Canis lupus familiaris: one gene and its partners. The protein of the gene in region 1 binds, or shares a complex with, the protein of each later gene. Links are inferred from orthologs where the notes say so. Each region holds a gene or a part of one and is shown in the gene's direction. Other genes may lie near its edges. The genes, in order: PTEN, SNTG1, MAST2 and PARD3.

Evidence for each region.
Region 2: the proteins of PTEN (region 1) and SNTG1 are in contact, whole or in part, in a crystal structure (PDB 7PC7), measured with the Homo sapiens proteins. The link is inferred for Canis lupus familiaris from reciprocal best matches to the Homo sapiens genes PTEN and SNTG1. Residues at the interface, in NP_000305.3 of Homo sapiens: Asp395, Gln396, His397, Thr398, Gln399, Ile400, Thr401, Lys402, Val403; in NP_001274742.1 of Homo sapiens: Gly67, Phe68, Gly69, Leu70, Ser71, Ile72, Lys73, Gly74, Glu77, His78, Ser85, Lys86, Ile87, Ser88, His118, Val122, Leu125, Arg126.
Region 3: the proteins of PTEN (region 1) and MAST2 are in contact, whole or in part, in an NMR structure (PDB 2KYL), measured with the Homo sapiens proteins. The link is inferred for Canis lupus familiaris from reciprocal best matches to the Homo sapiens genes PTEN and MAST2. Residues at the interface, in NP_000305.3 of Homo sapiens: Pro391, Phe392, Asp393, Glu394, Asp395, Gln396, His397, Thr398, Gln399, Ile400, Thr401, Lys402, Val403; in NP_055927.2 of Homo sapiens: Lys1112, Lys1113, Tyr1114, Gly1115, Phe1116, Thr1117, Leu1118, Arg1119, Ala1120, Ile1121, Arg1122, Val1123, Tyr1124, Met1136, Trp1138, Glu1141, His1170, Val1174, Ile1177, Leu1178, Leu1191.
Region 4: the proteins of PTEN (region 1) and PARD3 are in contact, whole or in part, in an NMR structure (PDB 2K20), measured with the Rattus norvegicus proteins. The link is inferred for Canis lupus familiaris from reciprocal best matches to the Homo sapiens genes PTEN and PARD3. Residues at the interface, in NP_113794.1 of Rattus norvegicus: Asp393, Glu394, Asp395, Ser398, Gln399, Ile400, Thr401, Lys402, Val403; in NP_112514.1 of Rattus norvegicus: Ala599, Gly600, Leu601, Gly602, Val603, Ser604, Val605, Lys606, Gly607, Asn608, Arg609, Ser610, Lys611, His614, Lys622, Ile625, Met659, Leu662, Arg663, Met666.

The regions. Positions count from the first base shown.
Region 1 is NC_049247.1:38,115,444-38,122,824, forward strand, and holds the start of PTEN (phosphatidylinositol 3,4,5-trisphosphate 3-phosphatase and dual-specificity protein phosphatase PTEN), read left to right. Parts: upstream 1-2,817; 5' UTR 2,818-2,925; coding exon 2,926-3,004; intron 3,005-7,381. UniProt on the Homo sapiens protein: Dual-specificity protein phosphatase, dephosphorylating tyrosine-, serine- and threonine-phosphorylated proteins.
Region 2 is NC_049250.1:3,048,130-3,055,051, forward strand, and holds part of SNTG1 (gamma-1-syntrophin), read left to right. Parts: intron 1-3,023; coding exon 3,024-3,176; intron 3,177-6,922. UniProt on the Homo sapiens protein: Adapter protein that binds to and probably organizes the subcellular localization of a variety of proteins. May link various receptors to the actin cytoskeleton and the dystrophin glycoprotein complex.
Region 3 is NC_049236.1:14,460,216-14,467,137, reverse strand, and holds part of MAST2 (microtubule-associated serine/threonine-protein kinase 2), read left to right. Parts: intron 1-994; coding exon 995-1,096; intron 1,097-2,135; coding exon 2,136-2,268; intron 2,269-3,056; coding exon 3,057-3,118; intron 3,119-3,387; coding exon 3,388-3,473; intron 3,474-3,923; coding exon 3,924-4,132; intron 4,133-5,144; coding exon 5,145-5,283; intron 5,284-6,922. UniProt on the Homo sapiens protein: Appears to link the dystrophin/utrophin network with microtubule filaments via the syntrophins. Phosphorylation of DMD or UTRN may modulate their affinities for associated proteins. Functions in a multi-protein complex in spermatid maturation.
Region 4 is NC_049223.1:3,009,037-3,016,466, forward strand, and holds the end of PARD3 (partitioning defective 3 homolog), read left to right. Parts: intron 1-3,279; coding exon 3,280-3,679; 3' UTR 3,680-5,318; downstream 5,319-7,430. UniProt on the Homo sapiens protein: Adapter protein involved in asymmetrical cell division and cell polarization processes. Seems to play a central role in the formation of epithelial tight junctions. Targets the phosphatase PTEN to cell junctions.

The DNA.
Region 1 (7,381 bases):
TCCCCCACCAGGTAGCAGCATCCGCTGCTCGGGGCAGCGCAGCTCGGCTCCGGAACCCTGCGACCCGGCGGCACAGCTGGAGGGCAGGGCGTCCCGCGTAGCCTCTGGCCCACCGCAGGCCGCGCACGCGGGTTTCGGTTCTGGAGACCCGACGGAGCCCTCCCCTACTCCCCCGGACCCCCGCCCGCTTCCCTCTTCTACGTGTGGCCTCCCCCCGCCCCACGCGGGCTCCGACCGACACGGACCGCGAGGGTCCCGCAGGTTGCGACCTCCTGCGGCGCTCCCCGGAGGGAGGCCGAGCGCGAGGGCGGGGCCGGGGCCGGGGCCGGGGCCATCCGAGGGGCGCTCTGGGCGCCGCGGGCGTAGCGAGGGCCGCCTGCGAGCACCGCGCGCCGGGACAGCCGCTCCGGGCGGCCTCCGCGTCCTGGCGCACCTCCCCGGGCGGCGCGTCACTTCCCTGCGCTTCACCCGCAGGCCGCTCCGGCCCCGCTCCGGCCCCGCTGCAGCCCCGCTCCTCTGGGCGGCCCCGGCCCGCCTGGTGGTGCTCCCCGGGCAGGGCAACGGGCGCGGCGCCCCTCGGCCGGCGTGGAGGGGGCCGGGGCTCAGGCGGCAGGTCGGTGGCGGCGCACGGCCGGGCCGAGCCCTCCGAGCAGCGGGGCCCGCAGCGGGGCGCACCCGACAGTCCCCGGGCCCGGCGCAGCCGCCGCAGGGAAGCGCAGCGCAGCGCAGCGCAGCCGCCGCAGGGCGAGGCCGGCCCCGGCTCTGCGGCCACCGGCCCCGGCTGTCCGGCCGCGGGGGGCACGTGCGTGGACGCGGGTGCTTGTGTAACCAGCTCCCCCGGCGCCGCGCCCGCCCGCCGCCCGCCACTCGCCGCCCCACCGCCGCCGCTCGCCGGCCGCCCCCGACCCTCCTCGGGGACTGGGAATTTGGAAAGTTCCCCAACTAGGGCACACGTGACCGCCCCTGGAAGTAGTCCCGGCCGCGGCCCGCGGAGCCCTCCGCCGCCCCTTGAAGCCCCTCGGCCCCGCCCACCCGCCGGGCCGGCGCTCCCTCCCGGCCCGGACTCCTGGCTCGGGCCCGGGGCGCAGCCCGACGCGCGGACGCCCACGCCGGCCCGCGGCCATCCAGCCGGCCGGGTTTTCGCGGCGGCCCGCGGGGGGCGGGGCCAGGCGGCCTCGGAGCCCGGAGCCCGGAGCCCGGAGCCCCGAGCCCCGAGCCCCGCGCGGACCGGGCAGCAGGCGCCCCGAGGGACGGACGCCCGCTCTCGGGGGCGAGGCCGGGGCGGCGCGGTGGTCGCGTCCCCGGGGTCCTGGGCCCGCGGCGGCGGGGGTGGGGCGGCGGGGCGAGCCGGGGGCGGGGACACGCGCGGAGACACAATGGGGGGAGTTCCTCGGGCTCACGCCGACACGCGGGGGGCGGACACGCGGGGGGCGGACACGCGAGGGACAGGCACGGGGGGACACGCGGGGGGACACCGACACGCGGGGACACAATGGCGGTGTTCCTCGTGCTCACGCCGACACGCGGGGGACGGACACGCGGGGGGCACAATGTGGGTGTCCTCGTGCTCACACCAATGCGGGAGGGACGGGGGAACACGCGCGGGGGGTGCTCGTGGTCACACCGACACGCGGGGAGCAGGCACGGGGGCAGTGGCCACGCGAGGGCCATAGTGGGGGTGTTCCTCGTGCTCGGACACGCGGGGAGCGGACACGCGGGGGCACACGGGGCGGACACAGGGAGCTGCGGGCGGGGGAGGGGCGCCCCGGGTCCGCTGGCCCCGCCCTCGCCCCCTGCGCCCCCGGTGCGCGGCGACCTCCGTCCGACTCGGGTCCCCGACGCCCCCGCCCGCCCGTCCGTCCGTCCGCCGCTGCAGGAGCGGCCGCGGCAAGTGCAGCTCCGGGGGCCGCTCGCACTGGGCATGCGCGGCGGTCGCCCCCCGCCCCTCCCCCCGCCCGGCCCCGGCCCCCCCCGGCCCCCGCCTCCCCCCGCCTCCCCCCGGCCCCCGCCTCCCCCCGGGCTCCGGGGCGCCGGGCTCGCGGCGGCGGCGGCGGCGGCGGCGGCGGCGGCGGCGGCGGCGTGGCGGGACTCTTTGTGCGCCGCGGCAGGATACGCGGCGGGGCGGGCGTGCGCGCTGCTCGGCGCCTCGTCTCGGAAGCTGCAGCCATGATGGAAGTTTGAGAGTTGCGCCGCGGAGAGGCGAGGCCGCGCGCAGGGAGGGAGATGAGAGACGGCGGCGGCCGCGGCCCAGAGCCCCTCTCAGCGCCCGTGAGCAGCCGCGGGGGCAGCGCCCTCGGGGAGCCGGCCGGCCGGCGGCGGCGGCAGCGGCAGCGGCAGCGGCAGCGGCGGGCGGCCCGCCCTCGGCCTCGGCCTCGCGCTCGCGCCCGCGCCCGCCCCCCCGCCCGCGCCCGCGCCCGCGCCCGCCCGCGCCCCCGCCCTCGCGCCCGCCCGCGCGCCCCCGCGCCCGCCCGCGCCCGCGCCCGCCCGCGCCCCCGCCCGCGCCCCCCGCGCCCGCGTCTAGCCGTGCTCCCGTCGCTCGGCGCCCCGCGCGGGGGACCGTGGAAGCCGCGGGCCCGGCCGGGCGGCGGCGGCTCCGGGGAGGGGGCCGCGGCCGCCGGCGCCCCGCTGCCCCCCCCGCTCCCGCCCGCACCACGGCGGCGGCGGCGGCGGCGCGCGCAGGGCCCCGGGCCGCCCGAGAGCCTGCCCCCCGCCGCCGCCCGGCCGCCCGGCCCCCCGGCGCCGCCCCGGCCCGCGGCCGCCAGCCCGCCTGAGCGCGCGCAGGCCCCGCCGCCGACGCCCGCCCCGGCCGCGCGAGGGCCGCCCGCCGCCAGGCCCGGGGCCGCCTGCAGCCTGCGGAGGAGGCCGCGCCGCCCGCCGCTCCTGCCGTCTCTCTCCTCCTTCCTCTCCAGCCACCGGCTCCCAGACATGACAGCCATCATCAAGGAGATCGTCAGCAGAAACAAAAGGCGCTACCAGGAGGATGGGTTCGACTTGGACTTGACCTGTATCCCTTTCCGCGCGGCCGCGGGCCCCCGCACCCGCACCGGGACCCCGCACCCGCACCCGCACCCGGGACTCGGGACCCCGCGCCCGCACCCGCACCCGCACCCGCACCCGCACCCCGGACCCCGGCCTCGGCTTCCCCGGCCCGGCCTCCGACCTCGGCCTCGGGGCTCCGGCCCGGCCTCCGACCTCGTTCCCGGCCCCGGCCCCGGCGCCCCGGCCCCGGCGCCCCCGGCCCCTCCGCCCCTCCGCCCCTCCGCCCGGCCGCGGCTGTCGGGCGGCGGCGGGTCCCGGCCCTGCGCGCGCCCGGCCCCTCCGGAGGGCCATTGTCCGCGCCCGCGGGACTCGGTGCCCCTCGGCGGACCCCGGAGCCGGGAACCCGGGCTGCCCGACGCGCGGAGGGGACGCGGCGCCCGGGCTCCGGGGTCGAGCACGTTTCGGTCAAACCTTGGCTTTAGGCCCCCAGATCGACGGCACAGATTAGATGAAGATGAAAATTAGCGTTGCACGTATGCAGATTGCATCAGAATCTCGCAGTGATTTAGTTTCCTGGGTTGCTCGCATTGATAGACTTTTTTTTTTTTTTTAATTCGTAATGGGAGTTGTGAGCTGATTTGCATAACTTTGGAAGCAGAATCGCTCTCAGCACTCGGGGCGTTCGTTGGAGGGCACAGAAAGTAGGTTCGCGTGTGCTCACGCCGAGTTGAATTACAACCGGGAACTGCCTCTCCCAAGTTGTGTAGTTCGCGATCAATAGTGTCACAGGTAACGCACGTCCTGAGCCGCTCTTGCTGCTCGGTCTTTCTGAAATTTGCCTCCCCCTCCCCCTCCCCCCCTCCCCCCTCCCTTGATGGGGTGATCCAGGACAGGGCATGGGATTTTGCAGCTCAGCCGCATTTTAGGTTCAGTGGTCTTGTCTCACGTAGCAGAATGGGGATTGACTGCTTCTTGATGCCGGAGGAGCGTGTTGTGTGGGTTCTGGGGTATTGTGTGCAGCAAATCGTGATTGCAGACATGAAGCTTCAGTTCTTCCTTGAAATGCAAGTGCCACTGCGAGTCCAGAACTGCTGCTCACCTCATCCAGCTTTCAGGACTCCTGACGCCGCGTGATGTCCGTTAATTGTACTCGGGCTCGGGTGTAAGGTCAGGTGTAATTTACCAGCTAATCACCAGCAACGCAGGCAAGAGCGGATCACTCCAGCTTCGCATGGTCTAGGTATGTTAGCTGGTTTTCCACACAGTGTCTTGAATTTACTGACTCAGGTTGTTGAATGACACAGAAACCCGAGAATTTTTAACAGGAGTATCGTTTCGGTTGCCTAAAAGTTAGGCCTTTGTACCTGAAAAGATAGCGGTTATTGAAAGGCATTGATCTTGGCAGTTTCAGGTATAATGAACTGGTTTTGATCAAGAGTTGGGGCAGAGAGCCCTCCTTTTTTTTTTTTTTTTTTTCCCCCAGAATGGAAAGTATCACAGGCGTTCAGCGTTCCTGCTTAGGCCAGTGTCTAAGGCATGAAAAACAGAATTGACTTGTGGGTCTGAGATGCCCACAGCATCTTATTAACAAGGCCTCTGTGAAGGCCAGAAGTTTGGTGATGTGAATTATAACAGTGGACGGTATTTAGTTCAAACGTGATTGCGTCGGTTGTTATTGGAGGATTCTTAATAAAGATCATTTTTAGCGAACACCAGTAAACATTTTGCCTAAAGGTGGAGTGGCGCTGAAGGATCCATATGTCCTGCTAAACACTGTGGGGAGGATTTGGTTTTTGAAGAAAATTCTTTACATCTGAAGAGGTTTTTTTTTTTTTTTTTTTTTTTTTATAATTCCCTTTGGATTACATAGCAGCACATAAACGTGCACAGCTAATTCTGCCCAAGTGTCTGTTTTGAGCTGAAGGTAAAAGTCACCGAAGAAGGAGCTTTCTAGCACACAAAACGTAAGTTTTCTGTTGATTAAAAAATTATGTATTAGAAGACTATTTAGAAGTTTTGGAGTCTGCATTGATTGCAACACTGGTCAGGCTGAACTTGACCCGCTTGCCTAGAAGGTGACCAGTTGCTGGACAACTTCTGATTTGTAATTTATTTCAAAAGCAATCTAGCGTTAGTGTGAACTGACAGCCGTCTGGGTGTATAGGAACAAATTGATTACACGTTTCTTTGACTTTTTAGGAAAAAATCCCCGTGCAAAAACCAATGTCTGTGGATGCTGTTTGGTAGATTGCTTTTATCATTCAGAGTAGGTTTATTTTTACGTTACCCATTTGCTCTAAAATAGTCAGGGCTTTAAGATTCAGATCGTTCTGCGGGGTTCTTACACAGGAGTCCTGAGCTGGTTGGCCAGCTCGCCTTTGACTTCACAGGTGTGTGCCTCCATACCTGAAATTTACGTGACCTAGAGACTGTTACTAGAAGGGTACTTTTAGTTAGGGTGTGCATAGAAAGCAGTGTCAGACGCTGCGTCAAATGACTAGTAACACTTGATTTCTAGAGTTGTGGTTTTATTGAGCCAAATATATGAAAAAAAAATCATTTAGGAAAAAGTCAGTGAAGGGCTCTTTTTTTTTTTTTTTTTTTTTTTTGTTAGTTGGACTTCCAATAATTTTGATTACACCAGTGCACTTTGGTTTGCTTGGTTTCGCTTTAGGGTTCTCTGTGTATTGTGGGGGGAAATTAAGGTGGCCATTGAGGACTTTGGCAGGTTGTAGTGTCTGCTTCAGCAGCTAGCCTGTGAGAAGTTACGTTCCCTTATGAGAGTAGTGATTGGAGCATTTCTATCTGATAAGAAAGATGAAGAACGTAGTGATTTCTCAGAGGAAAACTGAAGACGATTATTTGCAAAATTGAGTTGTCCTAAAAATAATTTGTTAACATCTGTTAGTCTGGAAAATGGTGGTGACCATGAGACTAAAAAAAATTTTAGTGTCTTTAGATTTCATGGGAACTTTAGGCTCTGTTTGTATGTATTTTTACATCTTGATAAGTTTGCGTCTTTTCAAATATTAACCATAGGGAGTATTTTTAACTTGTAGAGGGTAACAGTGACTATGGAAGTTAACTGTATTATCTTTTAAGATCAGTGATTACTGAAGTGCCCGTATTGTGAGGTGGTTTTTTTTTTCTTTTTTTTTTTGTTGTAGTTGTTTTGTTTTTTTAAGATTCTATTCACAGTTTTTATTTTACACTGTTTTGTATCTGCTAAGTTGTATTTCTTTTCCGAGCAACATGACTGGGCATCCTGATCGCTGTGTAACAGTTTACAAACTTCATTTTCATAAAGATTGTTCAAGAATAGAGCGCATCTAAAAGGAGAATAATTCACAGTTTATATGACTTTGTATAAGGAAAAAGGAATTTTATTGCTGTCCATTGTAAAAGTTTGCACAGGAGTACAACCATCAGTACAGATTTTACATTGCTTATGATACACTAAATGAATAATAGATGAATAAGCGTCATAAAATATGGTGAGGTATAACCACCGTAGTTTTACATTTATTTTTAGAGAGCATAGAAAAAGATGCATTGGTGTTCCTTACCTTTTAGAATTTTACTTTAACACGAGAAAGGCGGCTATTGATATTTTAGTTTTTATGTGGGACGGTGTATCTGCTTTTTCCTAATAACCACTCAAAAAAAATACTCAAACTTCTTAATGTTCGAGGTTTCCTTGGTTTTTAGAAGTGAAATCTCTGATTCTTATTTTCACATGTTCTCATTTTGAGAGTTGCCCCGTTTGCTGTTGATTTGTGTGGTGATAGCTTAGTACTTTTTAATATATCTTAAGCCACTTAATCACTTCAGTGACTTTTAATGAAGGAATATTTATTATGGGAAAATCAGTGCACAAAGTTTCAACATTAATTCACTCTCAGTAAACATTGTACTGTAAAGTTTTGACCTCAGCCTTTTTAGTAAGACAGATGTGTAGGAAATGTTTTTATACTACAGTAATGTATGTGAAATGGAGTTTGTAAAGAGAGATTGAGAAGTGTGCATGCATATGATAGTTTCTCACTTCCTTGGAATGTTTGGGCTTGGTCATGGTACAAGGAAGGATTTAGCTTCCAGAAGCTATGTTATTAATTATCATGTAAAACATTTCTTTGATATCATTTTTTTTTTCCCCTTTAGAGACCACGAGTTCTTAAGTTCTGTTTCTATCTTGCAGAGACCTCACTCTTACCTTTTTTCTCCCTCTCTGTTTTTGTGAGCTAAACTTTGATTTTAAGTGAGGTCAGCATTGGAGAATTCTTTTGGTGACCTGAATTCTTTGAGAAAATGTGTTAGAATTTGTTCTAAGGATGGAGAGACTTAAGACATTTGTATCAACGTCTGAGATAGGGGTCAGTAATGATTTCAGTAAATATTCAGT
Region 2 (6,922 bases), on another chromosome or scaffold:
ACTTTCTACCACCAGTGTGGGCTCTGTTGTCTTTCTGATATGGGATTCCCTGCCGAGGACATTCTGCAGTTTTTCCTGTAAAGATCAGCTCTTATTCACAGGGGCCTAAGATGGCTGTACTTGTGCTAATGCTAAACTTGAGGTGGAATGGCCTTGATTTTTCTCAGCCTCCACATATTTTGATGATTACTTTTAAAGTAGCTCTTTCACATGCTTGGGCTATAATCGCTTTAAACTAAATTTCTAGAAAAGGATTTCAACATGCTTCTTTTTCCATCTTCTGCCTCACTTGCTCTTCCTTCTCTAAAGCAGTGTATTCCACCTCTTTCTTGCCCTCTCACCCTCCAGGGTGTTATAGCACAGGTAGTCATGTGCATTTCTTAGCAGGAGGACCTGAGCCCATTCAGGCTTGCAGCTGATTGCTCTTGCAGGTGTCTCTAAGTCCTTGGTGATAAGACAGTCCCTTCCTAGAATAAAACTTTCTCTTTTAGGGCAGCCCTGGTGGCTCAGCGGTTTAGCACTGCCTTCAGCCCAGGGCCTGATCCTGAAGACACGGGATCAAGGCCCATGTCAGGCTCCCTGCATGGAGCCTGCTTCTCCCTCTGCCTGTGTCTCTGCCTCTCTCTGTCTCTCATGAATAAACAAAATCTTTAAAAAAAAAAAAAACTTTCTCTTTTACACTCTCAAGAATGATTTATTGCTCCTTATTCTTTTTCCTTAGAGTTTTAGCTATATAGAACTGTCATGAAGCTTTTAAAATTATTTTTACATATTTGTCTCCATCAGTACACCTTGAGGCCTGAGTATCCGGATGCCCATAACAGTTGTAGCTTGAGTCAGTGCATGAGGAGTGTCCTACAAATAGCAATAGCCAATGACCACAAGTGTTCATAGATGTCAAACTTATATTTTGCAGAGTTGAATAGAGAATTCTATCTTTGAGAGCTTCGGTGCTTGGGTAATATAATAGAAGATGCTAATTCAAGTTTTAAAAGAGAAAGGAGTTGGGGATCCCTGGGTGGTGCAGCGGTTTAGCGCCTGCCTTTGGCCCAGGGCGTGATCCTGGAGACCCGGGATCGAATCCCACGTCGGGCTCCCGGTGCATGGAGCCTGCTTCTCCCTCTGCCTGTGTCTCTGCCTCTCTCTGTGTGTGACTATCATAAATAAAAAAAAAATAAAAGAAAATGGAGTTAAGCTGCCAAGAAAAACAAAATCTTAAATGATTATTTTAAGATTCCATAGCAACATGCAATTTATGAGAAGGAAAAATATCAACAGGTTTCTGGTTATTAAACCTGACATTGATTATTTTGTTACAATTTCATATTACAAGGAACATTAAGGCCAATTGAATAAACCATAAAATTGGTGGAGTTTCCAGAAATTCTTTAATGTTTAGTTACAAGTTTTGTGCCAATGTTATCAATTTAAATAAGTAATATGGAAGTTGAAATATTTACAACAGAGGATTTGCTGATTTTTTTTTATAAAGTGACTTGTCATTACACTTATGTTAGAGTCTAAGATTCATGACCTGTCTAGCCATCTTCTTTCCCAGTGTTGTCTCTCAGTCTCTCTCTCATCTGTTCTCTGGATCTCTGGAATGTACCTCACACTTTTGCTTCAGGCCTCTGCCAATACCAGCCCCTCTGTCAGCAAAAGTCTTCTTCCTGTCCATTCTATCTTTAATCTTTCCACTCATCTTTCAGCCACTGTTTAAAATTTACATCATAGAGGACATTTCTCTGACTTGCCAATACAATTTGGTGTAAAATGCTTTCTTACTCCCTATAATGGCACTTACAATGATCTGTCCCGACATATTCACTAGTGTAGTAATTTATTTAATATCTTTTTTTGCCACTTCTCTAGACATTATAAGCTTTAAATGATTAAAAAGTACTTTTCAATTGCTTATCATTGGACTATATTTTTGAAGATAGTATGTTTTCATTTTTTCCCTTAAGATGGTATAAGAAAATCATAAACACAGAGAATGTGACTTCCTTCAAGCTTCTGAATATCTCCTGACAGCAGTTATCAAAACTAAATCCTACTGCCATTCATCCATTCTCCTCTAGTATTTTAAGCATCCAAATGCCAAAAAAATGGATTTATTAATAAACTAGTTAATTGCTTTGAAAATACTTGCCAAAGCAGAGAATTCCTTCTAATATTTTGGGTATTTAATGATGCTACCTTTATGTAGCTCCATATAAGAAATGGTGGAAAACACTAGTAATTATACTTTGACTATTTTCAGTACACTCCTCATGTAATTCAAAGGCCATATCTGACATATTGCCTGGGATTACTCTATTCCATTAATTTTTAGCTGCACTTTCTGTTAACATCTCTGAGGTTGAAATACACATAGATGTGTGAACACTTGAAAACTTCTAGTAAGACCAAGAAATTGCCATGTGAAAGTCTTTTTGACTCAATAAAATAGAGTTACATAAATAAGGTAAATATGTATTTTTTAAAAGCAATAAATGTCTTTTAGACAACCTAAACTCATTTTTTTCATTCCTTGTCTAGATGAATATTTTCATGATACTTTCAGGGTTGAAGAAATCAACTCAATAAAAATACCATGCTTATTAACCTTTTTAAAATTTTCAAACATATTAATAAGTATTATTTAATTTCATCATCTTGACAGTTCTGTAAAGGAAAAGGGAAATTGTGTGTGTTGTTCCTTAATACAGTAAAGAACTGAATCTCTTGTGTTAAATGCATTGGTAGCTACATTGCTAGTAAGTATAGAAACCAGAAATCCTCACTTCTGTTTCATGAGCATGCTTCAGTGTTGATACAGAAAAGAAATACATTAGTTATGGACTTTGAGGCATGGAGTTTAGGCTGCTATGACCATTTTTAACGAAGATTTAGCAGTAACATAAAATCTTTATGACTATGGCGTCTCCACCATGCACTTAGTCAACATTGATTCAAGGTATGGCCATGTTAGCAATATGGATTGATGTATGCCAGCCTGTGTAACTCCAGGTTTTCATCAGGACAGTGACCTACTGGACCGGCGGAAACACTGCTTCACCGTGCAGTCCGAGTCTGGGGAGGATCTCTATTTCTCTGTGGAGTTAGACTCTGACCTCGCCCAGTGGGAAAGAGCCTTTCAAACAGCAACCTTTCTGGAAGTGGAACGGATACAGGTGAGAGTCTATGAAATTTTAGGATTTGTGACTCCTAAAAACACGTGATTGCTCCCTAGAGTTTAAATCTCTAATAGAAAATGGTGTGATTTTGATTAATTTACAAAGTCATTTCCTGTTGTCCAGTCATGACCACCTCACTTGTAACATGAATGGCTTCATTCTCTTGCAATGCTCTTTCTTTCTAGAAATAATTCCCTTCAACTCTACATTTCAAAACCATACATGAAATTTGAGAGTTTTTCCAGAGGTCAGATCATCACAAAGGTTTTCCTGATTTCCAAACTGTCATGCTCATTATTACCACTATTCCCACAACTATCCTGTTCAAACTCATCCCACTCGTGAGCATCATATCACTTTCTTTTGTCTGTTTTCTTAGGTCTACTTACACGGTCTTATTGGAGTGATATGTGCTTGTCATTCCCCACACTAAATTATAGGTTGCTAATTATAGGTTCATTTACCAGCTGAAATGCATTTTGTACTGCATATTTATTATGCTTTATTTCTTAAGTGTCAAGTTATATGTAGATCAAACTTCATAGAACCTTCAGCCTCTACAATTAATGGGACCACGGAATAGATGAGGCTCCCAAACATTGGTTCTATGGCTGACATCTGACAGATATTGATGGCAAAACTGAGCAGTTGTAATGGACTTGCCACATGCAAATGGATTCACAAAGCCAAGACCTAAATAGACATATGGGCACTTAATTCAAAAACAAACATATGATGATGATAATATAGCATTGACTCCTCTGGAATGCTTGGCTGTAATAGGAGATTTGATGTACATATTTTCAATATGCTGAACTGATTTGTAACATATATTAATTCCCTTTATTTCTGACTATAGCTTTCTATATTGAACATATCAGTTTATACCAGTATGACATGGTATTTCCCCTGATTTTCAGGGGAAAAAAAATAGGAGAATTTCACTTGTTTCATTGCTCAGTTGACACTTTCTAATAGCTCTGCTGATCTGCATATATCTTAAAATGTTAATGTAACTGAGGAATATTGTTTCAATAACTTAGCTCTAAAGAACCTCAATTCAATAGTTTAATATCAAAAATGGGAACATGAAAAATATCTTCAATATTATTTTATTCTAAGTGCCAACATCTAAGACCACTTTAAGTACTAAAATATGTTAGTTGAATAGTTGAAATTTTTGTTATTTATACCAATATTTTTGTTTTCCTAATTATCATTTCTTTAGAATATCACACTTTACTTATAAACAATTACATGGAAATATCTATCTGTTGGTCTCAATTTAAGATTTCATTTGAAGTCTCCTGAGGTTTAGAAATAAGACAATATTATATTGTTGTGATGTATGTTAACATTGTGTGTGTATGGTTTTTGTTTTGTTTTGTTTTTTTGAGTCTGTGCTTCATATTCTCAAAGCTGATGTCCTGAGCAATGCATTTCTTTGGGCTATCTCACAATACTTATTTAAGATGCATATAGCAACTGAAAAGTAAAATACTTAATGCTTTGTTAGCTTTTGATTGTTTTATAAGTCTTATGGTTTCCCTTCGTTTACTGCATTAGAGATCAATATGCAGTGACTGAACACCTTGGTGGTATTATTTTCAAAATTCAAGGATGTTAATATATTTACATGAAGATGTTTATGTATTTTTCTTCTATGTCCTCAGTATTCCCACTAGCATTAAAGTTGTTAAGAAATAAATTAGAGGGGACATATATTATGAAATAAGCAGAAAGAAAATTAATGAATTACTAATACAAATTAATGAATTAAATAATTTCTTTTGATTTTGAAATTGGTTTTCATTAATGGGATTGCACCCTAACATTTTCTAGCTTCTAATCTATTTCTTTATTTTTTAATAAAGATTTTATTTATTTATTCATGAGAGACACAGAAAGAAGGCAGAGACACAGGCAGAGGGAGAAGCAGGCTCCATGCAGGGAGCCTGATGTGGGACTTGATCCCAGGACTCCAGGATCACACCCTGAGCCAAAAGCAGATGCTCAACTGCTGAGCCACCTAGGTGTCCCTCTAATCTATTTATTTATCTATTTATATATTTTTGGATCTCTAATGTACTTAATATTGATATAATATCTACATATTTAAAAGGTAATCCATTAAAAGCAGGTATTTGCAAAGATTCTACATTGTTATTTAAATTAAAACCTTAAAATTTGGAGAATGTAGTGAATATTAAAACAGGAAATGACAATTTGTATGAATAAAATCTTACAACATATACTTAGCATTCCAAGTACCAGTATTGGGCCTAATTCATTTATAATATTTTTAGCACCTTTATTTTTCCTTTTTCCGAAAGATTTTCCCAGAGTAAGTAAATAACACTGGTAAAGGGCAGACAACTTATTTATTTATTTTTACCTTACAATAATTCAATTTGAATTAATATAGCTCTTTTAAAATAGGACTTCTAATGAAAAAGCACATCATTTACAAAATTGATTTTCTTTAATTATTAATATTGGTGGAAATTCATATGTATTTAATTCAAGTGTAAGCATTTAGCTATAATTCAAAAGGATATATTAAAATGTATAGAGATGCCTGGGTGGCTCCTTAGTAAAGAATCTGCCTTTGGCTCAGGTCATGATCCCAGGGTCCTGGGATTAGGTCCCACATCAGACTCCCTGCTCTGCAGAGGCCCTGCTTCTCCTCTCTGTCTTTCATGAATAAATAATAAAATAGTTAAAAATAAATAAATAAATAAAGTAAAATGTATTTTATGTGTGATGTATCTTCAAATGTTATTTCATAATATAAAATTCTACACAAATCTTCCAAATGTTTCGAGTTATCCCTAAAAAGTATAATTTCTTGCTTTTTCTAACTATAATCCAATTTTTATTATAAAATAAACATAGAAATTAAACAAATCTAATATAGTGTTAAAACATTAAGTATAATAAATATTGAGTATAGTCATCATATATGTTTCTTAAAAGATGATAAATCATAGAAATAAACTCAGTCTCCATTTATATCATATCTGTTTCAATTTAATGATTATTGATGAATTAGTTTCATTTGTAATTCTGAACTTAATGAGATAAATTTTAATGTTCTGGACTGAAGGTGTTTTCATCTGATATATTCTTTTAAATTATAGTAATTGAGAAAAGCAAACAAATATGTCTAAATTAGAAGGAATAAGCCTTGAACATTTCTTACTATCGACTGTAGTTTTAATAAAATAGTGATGGGTAGATACAAGCACAGGAGATAGCCTGCATTAAATCAATAAAATTACACCCAAACTGAACTTAAAAGGCTCATTAAGTAAGTTTTTTGAAAAACTTGACTCCAAAGGAATAATTTAGCATGGTTATAACTTTTCTATGCAAAATGGGCTGACAGCCATAGCTTTTGGTGAAGGCACCTTGATGCATTTAGCCATCATTATAGTCAGAATGTCATTCATTTAATGTACTTTTATATACAGTGTTATAAAACAAATATGATATAAGGATTAGTGTTGAAAATTTGCTTGAAATCAGTTTATCTCTTTCTCTTCCTCCCTCTCTCCCTCCTTATTTTGAATTATAAGGTTTTTTTTTTTTTCATTTAAATATCCCATTACAGTTTTCAATTAAATGGAAATAAAATTGGCCTGTGGACATATAAATGCATTATGTGGCATATAAGTCCTGAGTTTTTATTTCATATTTGTTATTGTTAAATTTCAGTATCTTTATTTTAGTAGTCTTTCCAA
Region 3 (6,922 bases), on another chromosome or scaffold:
AGATAGTAACAGTCTTTCCATCCATTTTTAAAGTCCTAGGAGAGTCATCCACACGGGTGAGCTGTTGGAGGTGGGATGGAAGGGACAGCCACACAATACAAATGTAGCTCCTAGACGTCAGAGCAGTTTCCATAAAAAAGATAAAGTCTCCCGGGCTGAGTGAATACCCAAGAAAGTATCTAGTATAGGTACCTCAAACTCTGCAAGTCCTCTCCACCTACCTTACCTGAACTACTTACATTCTTGTATTTATTTCATTTGTGGGTTCACCGAAATCTCCCTAAAATCGTAGTTGCAGTACCCTTCTCTTGCTGCTTCCAACCCTCAGGTCTGCTCTATCTACATTGTAAATAGCCCCAAGCAAGTCCTCTCCACCTACCTTACCTGAACTACTTACATTCTTGTATTTATTTCATTTGTGGGTTCACCGAAATCTCCCTAAAATCGTAGTTGCAGTACCCTTCTCTTGCTGCTTCCAACCCTCAGGTCTGCTCTATCTACATTGTAAATAGCCCCAAGCTGTTCCTCTCCATTCCTCCTGCCTTGATTTATGCCTTTTTCATGCACATTAACTGCAGTAGCCTGTTAATGGATTTTCCTGCTTTAGGCTTATGCTCTTTAGTGCACTGTCCACACTACAGCCAGAGTGATCTTTCTAAAATACCTATCTGGTCGCCTCACTCCTGCTTTGAAGTCTTTCTATTCCTGACATTCTGCCTGGGGTGGGAAGTGAACAGTGAACGCTCCATTGAGAGTTGCCTCTTGAACTGGGGTCTAGTTGGAGAAACAGGTAAAGCCACATGTGTCTGTGACATTCCCTAGTATCATAGAGTCCTAAAGCTCCCTCTCACAGCGCACTGGCCTTCTCCTTTTCAAAAGTCTCTGTACCACCCAATTGTTTCTCCCTAGAGCCAGCTCTGCCCAGCCCAGTCCTGCATTAGCCCAACCACACTGTGCCAGGGGATTACTTAACCAACCTTTGTCTTCTCTACAGGCTCATGAGCGCTCAGAGAGTTCAGAAGTAGCTTTTGTGATGCAGCTGGTGAAGAAGCTGATGATTGTCATCGCCCGCCCAGCTCGACTCCTGGAATGCTTGGTGAGTGGGCTCCTAGGAGGGTCGGGAGGGGGTGGGCACATAGGGGAAGTCTCCTGCTAACAGCAAAACTGGTAGCACCACTGTCATTTCTGCTGCTGAAGTCCTTACCTGACTATGATATGCCAGCATGGGGGCCCAGACAAGCTCCTGTGAGGAAAATGGCTGGTCCTGAGGGGTAGCAGCCTGGCCCTCTCACACCGAGCAGGGCCCAGGAGAGTGGAGGTCTGGGTGGTCAGGAGCACAGGCCAGGTCGGTCAGCACAAGTCGAGTGCTTCACTTTGTCATGAGGGAGCACCTTATTGAGCACCTACTTCATACCAGTCACTGGGGGGGACACAGACATGAACAAAGCAGAGTGTCTGATCCTAAGGTGCTCCCTCTGCAGTGGAGTTAGTCTTGTAGTGCCTCGTATAGGAGGCATGGAGACCTAGAAATAATAATTATGGTCCTGCAAACAGTGTTGCCACTGAGGTGAGTCCAGGGTGCAAGAGAACAAGTCAGTGCCTCTCTGTGGGCCTTGATTTCCTCACTGAGGTCATAGAAGTGTTAGCAGGGGTTAGCCCAGGCTGTGGCACTTAGTAGGTGCCCAGTGACTGGAACCCTCATGTTTCTGTGCTCCGGATAGATAAAGAGTGCTGTGCTGTCCACATGGCTCTCCAGCCCCTAGCACATGGGGGGTGCTTCGTAAACATCTGAAGGCAGGAATGCGTGTACGTGTGCGCTTATGTGTGACAATACCATCTGGTTCGCAGGAGACTCTGGATCAGATGAATAGGTTGAGCCATCTTGAAACCAAAAAGTCTGGTTCTTATTGTCAGGAAGACAGCCTATGCTTAGGAGGTCTGATCTGGAGCTGACCTGGAAGACAACTTTGTCCCTATTCTTAAGATCCCCGATTCATGATGTTTCTGGGTGCTCGGTGGCAAGTGTCCCATCATAAAGAAAAAGTCTTGTTCATCCTCCTGGGTATGTGCTGTGAAAATCAAAGAGGCGTTCACTTGTAGCCCTCACCACTCACTGTCTCCCTTTCCTGGCACAGGAGTTTGACCCGGAAGAGTTCTACCACCTGTTGGAAGCAGCCGAGGGCCATGCCAAAGAGGGACAAGGGATTAAATGTGACATTCCCCGCTACATCGTTAGTCAGCTGGGCCTCACACGGGATCCACTGGAGGGTGAGCATGCTCCCTGGTGGCTACAGACACACCGTAGCCAACAAGCTCTAACCACGGGAAGGCCACTAGAAGAAGAGGCTTAGACTGGACATGGACACGATCAGAGGCCTCAGGGCCATCTAAAGAACCCAGTGTTCTCTGTCACAGTGTAGCCCCTCCTTCACATTCGTTCACATCCGCCTGGTGTGACCCAACCTGAACTGCCATGGGCCCAGCTGGAGCCTAATGTCAGAAGAGGTCAACAGCAAAGGACTACAATTACATTTTCAAAAATGATCACCTCCTCTGCCTTTTTACCTCCTTTTGGGCCCCCTTACCAGCCTTCCTGTGACTCTGGTGTGGTCCTGACCCAGGGCTTCAGCAGATATCTCCATTCACACTATGCCCCTGTGGAGCGTGGGCTTCTAAGTCACTGGTCTCTAGTCATCCTGCTCCTGCTTCCCTGCTTCCCAACCTCAACGGTGAAGCAGGATGGGGACCAGTAGCCCAACCTTGGGCCCTGTTTTCCAGGAATTGTCCTAAATTTGAGGGAAGCTTTTTAGAATTTGCCAGACCTTGTGAATGGCACTGGACTTCTAGAGATAGGAGTGGCAATGTAATTTGGGAAACAAGTCCAAAAGCTGTGACTCCTCTGAGGATAGAGCCACAGGACTGTACCTGCACCCCAGACTGATGCGGGAAATATTAATGCCTGCCTTGCATGCACCTGTCATGTGATGTGAGTGGACTGCTGAGATGCCTGACATTGCTGCACACACCTTTCTCTTCTGCCCTTGCTTTATTTCTAGAAATGGCCCAGTTGAGCAGCTATGACAGTCCTGACACTCCAGAGACAGATGATTCGGTTGAGGTAAAGACCTTGAGCTTCTGCCCCAATCCTGGAGGCTGGGCCCTATGAACCAAAGGACCACGAGTCCTATTTGAGAGGATGTGTGAAGGTGGAGGGGAGGTATGGATGGTAGCACCTACTATCTCAGAAGCCATTCAGCTCCTGCATTGGGAAGAATGGGTGGGGGCTGCAGCAGGACTAGGCGCTGACCCGATGCTGGGGCTCTGGCTTCCCCAGCACGTGGGCTCTAAGAAGCACGCTTGCCTCTTGCCTTTGCTCTTGTCTTCCAGGGCCGTGGGGCATCTGTGACATCTAAAAGGACGCCCTCTGAGGAGGACTTCGAAACTATTAAACTCATCAGCAATGGCGCCTATGGGTAAAGGCAGGGCTTGGGGTGTGGCCAGGATTGGAGCTAGGTCAGCCCTTGGGCTCTTCCTTCTAGAAGTGTAGGATACCTGATCCTCTGGGCAGCACATGCTCAGGATAGACCCTCTCCGACCTCAGAGCCTCCTGGAGAGAGACAGGAGTTCAGTCCTCTGACATCTGAGCATTGTTCCTTTCTTGACAAGGCCCCCACTCCTCTTGGTAGCACTCCTCCTCTTCCTGAGCTCTGGGGGAGAACTGAACTGTGTCCTCAGGATTAGTGTGTTGGGAAATTGAAGAGCTCTGTGGGCAGGGGCCCAGATCCTTCTCATCGATAAGCACACGCCTGTTCCTTTGGTCTGCGCATTTATAGGGTGTGATTAGACACCCCAGCTCTGGGTGGTGGGGAGCACAGCCCAGTTGCTGAGGGTCCATGGGAGATGGGATGGACTGTGTTTCCCAGGGCTGTATTCCTGGTGCGGCATAAGTCCACCCGGCAGCGCTTTGCCATGAAGAAGGTCAACAAGCAGAACTTGATCCTTCGGAACCAGATCCAGCAGGCCTTTGTGGAGCGTGACATATTGACCTTTGCTGAGAACCCCTTTGTGGTCAGCATGTTCTGCTCCTTTGAGACCAAGCGCCACCTGTGCATGGTGATGGAGTATGTTGAAGGTACTGTGGGAAAGGTGGCCTGGCAGGGAGACCAAGGCACAATGTGAGGCTTAGCCCTAAGCTGTGACCAACAGCTTTGTATAGGAGTAAAGTTTCAGGGCCCAGCTTCCCAATCTCTCTTTGGCATTGGTTTCTGCCTTAGGATCTCAGAGACCATTTGACCACAGTGGGCACAAGGCTCCCTGCCCCTCACAGGGAGAGGCTTCTGGAATAGTAGCTGCCATGAGGCTGCCCATGTCAGGTGCAAAGACAGGCTTTCTGGGACAAGATGTATCAGCCCAACAGCTGTAGAATCCTGCATCCCAAAGCCTGGATGGTCTCTACTGCTGGGGCCAGGCAGGAACAAAGGAGATAGCAGGCCACACAAGCCCAGGGTTGCATGCTGGGAGGACTGCAAATGGACCCTCAGAAAAAAGAAATGCCATTTCCCTGACCGATGGCTTGTGAAGGGGACGCCCCTTAAGGCCACACAGAAGCTCTGGGGATGGAGTAGAAGAGCATAGTGGGGCATCTGGGGAGAGATGGCAGCTGCGTACAGCTTCCAAAGACACTTTGCTTAAGTCTTGAAGTTGAAACTGAACAACACTCTCCTTTTAATTCAGAGAGTACGTGCTGGGAGTTCACAAGGTTACCTTGTTCAAAAACCAAAGGCTAGTCAACAGGAAGGACATAAGTGGACAAAATGCTGAAGTCTCAGTCAGATGTGTTCATTGTATACAGGACTTCCACCCTAAAATAACTTTGCTCTACCCTTGCAAGTCCCCTGGAGGACAGATTCCTACCCTCTGGCCTGAACAGTGGCCTTGACAGCCATTGGCAGATTCACCTCCTGCCGACTCCTCTCCACACTCTGTCTGCACCCAGACCAGCAGCATAAGAGCTAGATTCCCAGTCTCTAGCACTGGGGTGTTCCATGAGGCTCTCTCTTCTAGGGCCTCGGAGACTATAAGCCTGAGACAATCCTGAGTAGGGAACTCGATCCTTCCTTCATACTGTTCTGGGCTTGTTACAGGAGGAGACTGTGCCACTCTATTGAAGAACATTGGGGCCCTGCCCGTGGACATGGTGCGTCTGTACTTTGCGGAAACCGTGTTAGCCCTGGAATACTTACACAACTACGGCATCGTGCACCGTGACCTCAAGCCTGACAAGTACGCCCCCTCTCTGGGTCCCTTGTCCAAGGTTTCCCTCTTGGGTCTCTATAGATAAATGGGGGCAGACATAGCATGTTTGGATTTATCCCAGAATGGCTGCCAGAAAACAGTGCTCATGTGGGTCTCTATCTAGGCTTACTACTCGAGCCCCTGACCATCCCAAATGCAAAGACCATTGCTAGCCATTCTGGCAGTGGCATCATAAGACCTGTAAGAGTCATGTAAGAGTCACTAAGGAGCTCATCTAAGGGAACAAAGGAGGAACAGAAGAATCGGCATCTAGGAGATGGCCGAGCAAGTGTTCTGACATTTACTGACCTCTCTGGGCCAAGTGCTATAATCTGGGTTGTTTGTCTTTTTAAAAAAAAAGATTTATTTATTCATGAGAGACACAGAGAGAAGGCGGAGACACAGGCAGAGGGAGAAGCAGGCTCCCCTCAGGGAACCCGATGTGGAACTCGATCCCAGATCCTGGGATCACACCCTGAGCCAGAGGCAGATGCTCAACCACTGAACCACCCAGGCGTCCGTATAATCTGGGTTGTAAAATAATCCCTGACCTATAGAACTTTAGTATGGGAAACAGAAATATCTGCATATAGGCTACTTCTCAGAGGGCATTGGTCAGATGGGAAAAGATGAGAGGAGCTTTCTAAAGCCAGGAAGCAGGATTTGCAAAAGGTGCACAAGTATCCGAGAATGTGATCCAGGAACTACAGTACAGTATGCGGAGACTGAGATTGTTAATTGGTCAGAGTAGTAAGAGGTAAGGCTAGAGAGAGAGGCAGGGATTGGGTTATCAAGAGTCATTTTGTAAAGTAAGTTTTATTTTTATTTATTTATTTTTTAAAGTGGGTTTTATTTTAAAGGGTCCTAGCAAGTCTTCAGAGGGCCTGTTAGCCAAAGGTATGTGATAGAATGGCACACTCAGATTGTGGTTTAAGTTTAGAAACAGCACTCTGCCAGCAGGAAAATGGTGAGGCTGTTGCAGTAGACCAAGCCCAAACCAACCGTGCCTGCAGGATGCGAAAGAGAGGGGATATTGTTAGGAAGTAGAAAGGAAACCAACAGGTAGGGGTGAGGTAGGAGAGAAGGGAGCAGGAGTGGGGGATATCTTCCAGATTCCCCGTCAGGACTAGTGCATGGGGATAAGCCTCTGTTGTGGAAAATGGCTTTGACACTAGACAGACCGGAGTTCAGATGACCACTTGTTAATTCCTTGAGCTTGGATCCATTAATCAAACCTGAGAGCCTCCTGTTCCTTGCCTTTAAAATGGGATAATAGTTCCTATTTTGTTGTGTTAGTTACTCTGTTTTAAGACGTTTCAGGAGCCAGAATATCTTTATAAATAATCAATAAAGTACTTTTCACAGAGCTCAGAGATAAAGGTCATTTTCTGTGGAGAGGACCAGTTAGGTATGACTCTGTTTGGAAGGGTTGAGTTCACGGTGCTTGTAAGACATCTGGGCCGTTAGTGGGCACAGAGCTCATAAAAGAAGTCAGATGCTGTTTGGGAATCCTAGAATAAAGGGGCAGTCGGGTGAAGCCCTTGTCATGAAATGAAATGACTCGGGGTGAATATGTGACAGGAGAAGAAAGAGACCATTTTCTATGAGATCCTCTCTCAGTTTCTCC
Region 4 (7,430 bases), on another chromosome or scaffold:
TAAATATATATTTTTCTTTTTCTGCTGTCTTTCCATTTCCTCTTCATCTTTCCTTTTTTTTTTTTTTAAGATTTTTATTTATTTATTCATGATAGACATAGAGAGAGAGAGAGAGAGAGGCAGAGACACAGGCAGAGGGAGAAGCAGGCTCCATGCAGGGAGCCCGATGTGGGACTCGATCTTGGGACTCCAGGACTGCACCCTGGGCCAAAGACAGGCGCTAAACCGTTGAGCCACCCAGGCGTCCCCATCTTTTCTTCTCCCATGGCTTCATGTCTCTTGGTGGCTGACTGCCCTGCTCCACTCACTTCACTTCCCCTCTGTCTTCCACACCTGGACATGCTCTCCCAACCAGGCCCATTTATTATGTCTCTAAGCTGCTTGTCAGTGTGTCAGCTTTGGTCTTCATGTCTTTCTTCATCCTTCTGTGTCTTCCTCACCTCAGTGACTAAATGGCTTTCCCAAGGCATTGGGTCTTTGACGTAAGCCCTCTACGTCATGATGGCCTTCAGGCCCTGTTGGAAGTGGTTATAATGATTAAGTGAGAGTTGTGACCAAACCTGGGTATTTCTTTGAGTGGATTCAGCAAACTTTGGTGGGCTCATTCCAGGACCAAACAAACCTGTGTGTTGGTTATAAAGGAATTCAGTGAAAGGAAACTGACATTTTGTTGCCACTATTATTATTTGTGGGTTTCGACTCAGCAGTCCCGGGACAGTCAAAAGATTATTTCTGATCTCTGAGGAAGTGGGCCTGCCTTCACTTAGTGATGCTTCCTCAGTTATTCTTTCATGCCCTTCCCTGCATCTTGATCTCGGCCCAATCCTTTTGACAAAGGACAGAAAGCAAATATTTTTGCTTATTTTTCCCCCTTGGTCACAAAGATGCCCCCAAAACCCAGAGGCTCAGCTTTGAGGGCAAAGTGGCTCTGTCTCCAGACTGCTCTCCCAACACCCCTTAGTCAACCATGCACTGTGTGCCATGCTTTTCTACGCAGTTAACATGTCCTGTTTCGTTCATTTCTTCCCATCCCCTGTGAGGTTAGGTGTCTTGCCTCTTTCACAGATGAGACAGTTTGGGCCCAAACAGCATAACCATCCCAGGGCTCCTCAGCTGGTGAGTGGCAGACAGGACTGGAATCTCTGTCCACCTGATCCTAAGCCTAGTGTACAACACTCGTTGTCTGCTGTTTTCTCAAGTTTATCTATGATCTGCTCATTTCTCAGCCTCTCTTTCATCAGGAGCTTATTGATATCACTGGTTTCCTTACCAAAGAAGCGTGTGTGCATGCGTGTACATGTGTATGTGTGCACATGTATATGTGTGTATGTGTGCACATACCGATGTGGGTATACTTTCCCCACATGTCTTCATGTGTCAGGCAAGTCCACTTTCTTCCCTCTGGCCTGCTTAATTTGAAGGAAATTTTAACGATAAGAAATTCCTTCTCTCACATCGTCCTAATCTCTATCCCTAACAGAACTTTAGTCACTTCTCAATGTGTTTAAATAAAAAAGACCCTGTCTTCCTGAGATGATTCAGAATTCAGCTTATGGTGCATGAGTACCATGGAGTGGAGCCTCGGGCTTTATAGAGTCGGGGCTTGGGAGAGTAGGGGTTAGTGGATCTCAGTAGGCTAAAGATGAAAAAGAGGTGACACTTCTGTGGCCTATTTCTGGTTATCTTTAAATTGATAACTAACCCATGAAGGAATTCCACTTTTGTTGCTGGAACATCACTAACAAGTTCGTTGTTTTAATTAAAGTTTCATGATTAATGTCAAATCCCTGGTTTCATGCTGGCATGCTCCATCATTCGTGTCCCTGGGCAGATTAATTTATGACTTTTTAAGTGAAGATAATCAGTGCTTTAGGCAAATAAACTATTCCATCAAATCCAAGGATTCTTGCCTGGGCTCAGTGTACAAATGGTCTGATTCCCATGAAAAGAGAACTGGATAGAGATACTGGGGACCACTCAATTAATCACAGTCATATCCGGAGATGATGCTGGACGTTAGTTCATTTTCCTTATTGAAAATATCCCTGGCTGCATTTTAGGCCGTGTGGAAAATAGGCAGATTTCATCCAAACCATATTGACGGCACTTCTGAATGTTCAAATATGCAAATTGCTCCACCCCCGTGGAAGCTCTGTGGCTGCATAGACCTTCTTTTCCCTTCACAGGAGTCTTCCTGAACATTCCGTCATGTCGTGTGTGTGTGGATGTAAGAGGCTGAGCAGTACATAGTGCCGCCAAATGATTTTCTTATTGATAAATGGAGCAATATATTTTGTTTTATTACTCAATTCTCCCTTCCTCTCTTTCATTTTTAAGGCAAAATATTAGGACATGTCTTCCTTTCTGGCACAAAATTGTTTTACTTTATCATAGCCAATCTTATTGTAAATTCATAAAAGCATCTAGGGACTGGATAGTAAATTAAAGATGTTTCAGAACAATAATGTTTCCTGAAAATGATGTGCAACTTTATTGCAGAAATGATAAGACTTTGAAATTTCTATATGGCTCTGATTTATTTCCCTATCCTGGGGTGACAGAAAGTAGGTTAAGTAGGTCGCCCCAGCCCTCCGCAAGACTGTGGTGTGTAGGAAGATAGTGCCGGCTCTGCTGCCTTTCAGGCTCTACGGTCCTGATGGGCATGTATTCTGAAGAGTGTCGGTTCCTGACATATATGTCTCGGCAGCCAGGGCTTGAAGGGATTGCCTGTTGCATTTTTAATCATATGGGAGTCCAGACTTAGATCCTTCATAGCTGAGCTCACCCTGTAATCCATTATGTACACTTCAGATTAGCTACTGTCTTAGGCATTATGGTGGCAGCTGTGTAAAATATTTGCTGTGCTTGTTTAGGATTGCATTGTAAGGTTCCAAAACGAGCAGTTAGGGCTGGGGTTGGAGCTGCAGCTTGCTAATACCCTGGACAGCATCTTGCCAATGCATCGAAATCGCAGGAGGTACTGTCACCCGAAGGTTCTGGTAGGCTGTGTCTACCCACACACAGCCTGAGGACTCCCTTTTTGGGCAGCCTGGAATCCCTCAGTTCTCTCTCCTCCTTCTGCCATTGTTTGCTGCTCACAGTCCTGTCTCCTTCTTCCAGCCCCGTTTCTGTGGCCAACGCAGGACGCATAACACCGGGACTAGAGAAATCCAAATGCACTTCCCCTTGGCCACCCCCACCCTGCTCCCTCATTTCTTCCTTTGTCTCTCTCTCCTTCTCCCAATCCTCATATACTAACCTTTGGGGTTTGCCTTCTAGGCAAAGCAGGAAAAATGCCAGCTCTGTGTCCCAGGATTCCTGGGAGCAGAACTACCCCCCCGGCGAAGGCTTCCAGAGTGCCAAGGAGAACCCCAGGTACTCCAGCTACCAAGGATCCCGGAACGGCTACCTGGGCGGGCACGGCTTCAATGCCAGGGTGATGCTGGAGACGCAGGAGCTCCTGCGCCAGGAGCAGAGGCGGAAGGAACAGCAGATGAAGAAGCAGCCTCCTCTCCTTCCAGAGGGACTGCACAACTATGACTCATACAAGAAAGGCCAGGACCCCACTTACACCCCGCCCAAGGGGCCATTCCGGCAGGACGTGCCCCCCTCCCCTTCTCAGGTCGCTAGGCTGAACAGGATCCAGACTCCTGAGAAAGGGAAACCCTTCTATTCCTGAGCAGGAGAAGAGCGGAGGCTTCATGTCATGCAATAAAGGACATTTTCGTATGAAGACTTGTATTTTGGGAGTTTTTTTAAAACCTTGATGGTACTATGGAGTATTTCTGTTGTCGGTATCAGTGCCTTTAAGCAGTACGGGCAAAGAAATGGAAGGCCTTAATGTCTTTGCCGCTCCGTCTCGAGTGTCTATTTCATGGAAGGATTTCCCGCCATCCGACAATCACCTGTTCAAGGCCTTGTGCGCTCTGCGTCCTCTGGAGTGCCGGGAAGGTGGCCCCCCCGCCCTGCGGCGCCCCGGCTTCGCGTTACGGCCCCGCCAACCTGTGGCCAAGTGGAGGATGGTATCTTCCCCTCTTCTTCCCCTTTCAGTTTGAGGTGAGGTTACATCCCAGTGTCTGGTGGATCCCAGGGGGTGACACACACCAGAAATTGGGGCTCTCTGGTGCTTCACAGCACAGTCATTTATAGTACTTTGTCATCAGTAAGGTTCTCTCCCTTCTCTCTCAGCTCCTTGCCACAGGAAGGTTCCTTTATTCTGTTGAAGAAGCCGAGCCATATCCGACACTGTCTGGTTATCATGGAGGTCCGTTTGCAACTGCCTTATAACTTGACATTACCAATAAAGTGATCAGTCTGGTCTGCGTTTATAAATACACTTGTTCAGTCGTGTTCCTGACATGTGTGTTGAGTCAGCGCAGCTGTGTGTGGGGCATGTGGGCGAGGGAGCGCCTCCTGGTTGGGGAAGGAGGGAGCCTGCCCACCGGCCCCGTGTCTATCGTGATGTGGGAGGTGGTAGCTAAGGAAGAATTCTCCCAGGATGAGCTTCTGGCCCACAACATCCCAGTAATTATTTTAATTAGCTTTCATTTGACAGGTTGGCAGGAAGGGCATAGAGTGGGACAAAGATAAATCAGACAGTCGTTTTGGGATTCTCAAAACTCCTCTGCTCTCTGCGGTTTTTAAAGTCAGTTGGAAATGACATTAGTCTAGTGCATCCACATGCTGTCTCTGTGCCTGGTGATGCCATCATGCTACTAAATAATTCTGCCGTGAGACAAAGAAGACAAGGGAAAAGCTGTTAGATCGCACAGGGAACATTCTGGTGCCCCCGACAGTGGTCCCAAAAGATTGCTCTCATGTCAATAATGTGAGGTATGTGTGGGTCACAAGGACCTCGATTCCTCCCATGTTTTCAGCTGTCAGTCTGAACGCCGTGTATTGTAAACCATGGCTGGGTTGCTAAAGTGCCTGCAAATCCTGATGTGAAAAAAAGCTTGAGATGAAAGCTCAGCATACCATGTATTAACAAAAAAAAAAAAAGAAAAAAAAAAGAAAAAAGAAAACAAACAAACAAAAAAAGACATGTACTGATATGCCTATTTTTTTTTTTTTTTTACTGGCACATTGTATTTTTGTGTCCCACTTGTTTTTAGAAAATACATGAAGTGTCCACACGTACCTATGTCTCTTTTGCATCTCTGTGTAAAGGTTCTCCGTGTTCATAATGTGTGGCGATATTAAATGGTGTTACCAATTTGGACGACAGTGGCTCTTTCTCACGGCCTTCCGTGAGCTGTGAGAAAGAGCCTTCCCTGTACATATGAGACTTCTAATAAAAGGCATATTTCTTCCTGTTCTTTCTTGTGTCTGTACTGTGTTCCTGTGGAAACTCCTAGCTGGGTGTCTTTTTTTAAGTATGTTAGCAGATGTGATTTTTTTTTTTCATATTTAGAAGAAGTCGAAAGAAAGTTTCCTTCTATCTGTCTGTGTGCAGACATGGAAGTGGGTGATTGAGTGCTTACCTGAACACCTGAGGAGAGACAGGATAGGAAAGAAAGACCCTGAAGACCCAGGCTGCTGAAAGAAGCCCAGAGAATTCAGAATTGAAGGAGCCAATACTCGAGAGCTAAATAAAAGAAAAATGATACAGAAAGCCACATCATATTCCTATTATTGTCCTTTGCTCCCTCTGGGTCACTTCAGTGAGCCAATGTTTTGAGGGAGTTCCAGCCTTGCATACTGCAAGCCCAAAGTAAGGTCCAGATTCTTTTCCACTTCTAATACCAATCAGTCCTTATTTCCCAAATTACAAAATAAAACCCTGCTGTTCTTTTAGATTCATTAATATGTATTTGGTGCTTTGAAGGCATAAAGGGCATCAAATCCCCAGGTATGTCTCATGCACGAATATCCCCACCCAAAGGGTAAGCTTTGCACAGGCCTATTGAAAATGCCTTCGATGTGGAGTGCTGCATACGCTGGTTGTCATAGCAGCCTTTAGCCCGTCACTAAATCCAATTCTGTCACCTTGGTTTTAGTAGCGAGAGATGTATATATAGTAAACCAAGAAAATAACATGTCCTGGGTTCTTATATGCATGCATGGCATGAGAAAGTAGAAAAGAGAAGATGGACGGATTTGTTAATTTTCTCACTGACCAGGAGGCCCATGGCAAATGCTCGCAGGTTGTTTGTCTCAGCTGATGGTGAGAAGTAGAGCAGGAGAGGTAATATAGAATGTTTGGGGACCCAAATCACAAAGGGGTTTGAAGATTAAAACTGACAGTTTGAGCCACACTGAAAGGAGTAGGAGCACTAGATATGAGTCAGCACAGAAGTGGGAATGTGCCAGACTGGCAGTCTTGTCTAAATGTCTGCCCTCTGGCTCCAGAGTACTTACCAAGGACTCACTGGGATCACAGGAAGATCATGTCCATAGCAGGGGCCAGGCTGAATGTGGTCAGCATGTGTACCCACTGGGAGGAGTCGCAGTTGGTGCAAGGGGGTAGGTGGCACCAACTAAGGCCCACATTCACATGAGAATGGAAGTGGAGTGAGTCTACTGTCCCTCAGAAAAGATGGCCCCACAGTGACATTATCACCACCCTTAGTCCGCTAAGACTATAGAAAAGACTTACAAATATTTATAAATATAGATTATAAAGTAATGTTGTATAAGGTATCATATGTTAAACATCACCACCCAGGTCTTCTTCCTGGTAGACCAAACACAGCTCAGAAGTCAAAGCATCCATGGTTGATGGGGCTGTCCCCCTAATAGGAAGGAAAAGTGGGACCCCGGCCAAAGAAGTCAACTATATCAAATCAGGCACTGGTGAATTTTCTGTTTCTTTGAGTAGAGGCAGTTGATTTAGCTGCAAACCCATATTGAGGAAGGGCAGCAAATAAGCAAACAGAGCCGGCCACTTTGCCAGCAGCGTGCTTTTGTGATCATGTGCCCACGTGAGTCTCAAAACAAGGCCAGAGGTAAGAGAACAAGCTCCTCTGTCCACATCATTGCTCGAGATTTGCCCAAATATGGCCTCCATCTTCCAGACTGCTCCCCTTCCTCCAATAGTTTTTACTAGAAAATACACGTGTTTGCGTATACGTGGAACAAGCATACCGAGCATGTGCAAAATGCACGTGTAATTCTATATTTGTCTATACTAGTCTGGTTAGTTTAATGTGTTTCTTATTTCATCTAATGAGTCCTTGACACCCAGTTCTTACCACAGTTGAAATCAATCCAGGGTGAAGCAGAGAGTACTTTGTTTCTGGTTTTGTTTGCTAGTCATGGAAGAATAAGTCACTAAGGTTCAACTAAGTACCTGTCAGTATATGCCATCATGGAGCTCTTCCTTGGATAGCACAGCGTGCCAGGAATTTCAACGTCTCTGTAACTCAGTTCTTTCTCCTCTTCGTCCTTCTTTTAACAAAGATGATTCCATTGATGACATGTCAGGTAAG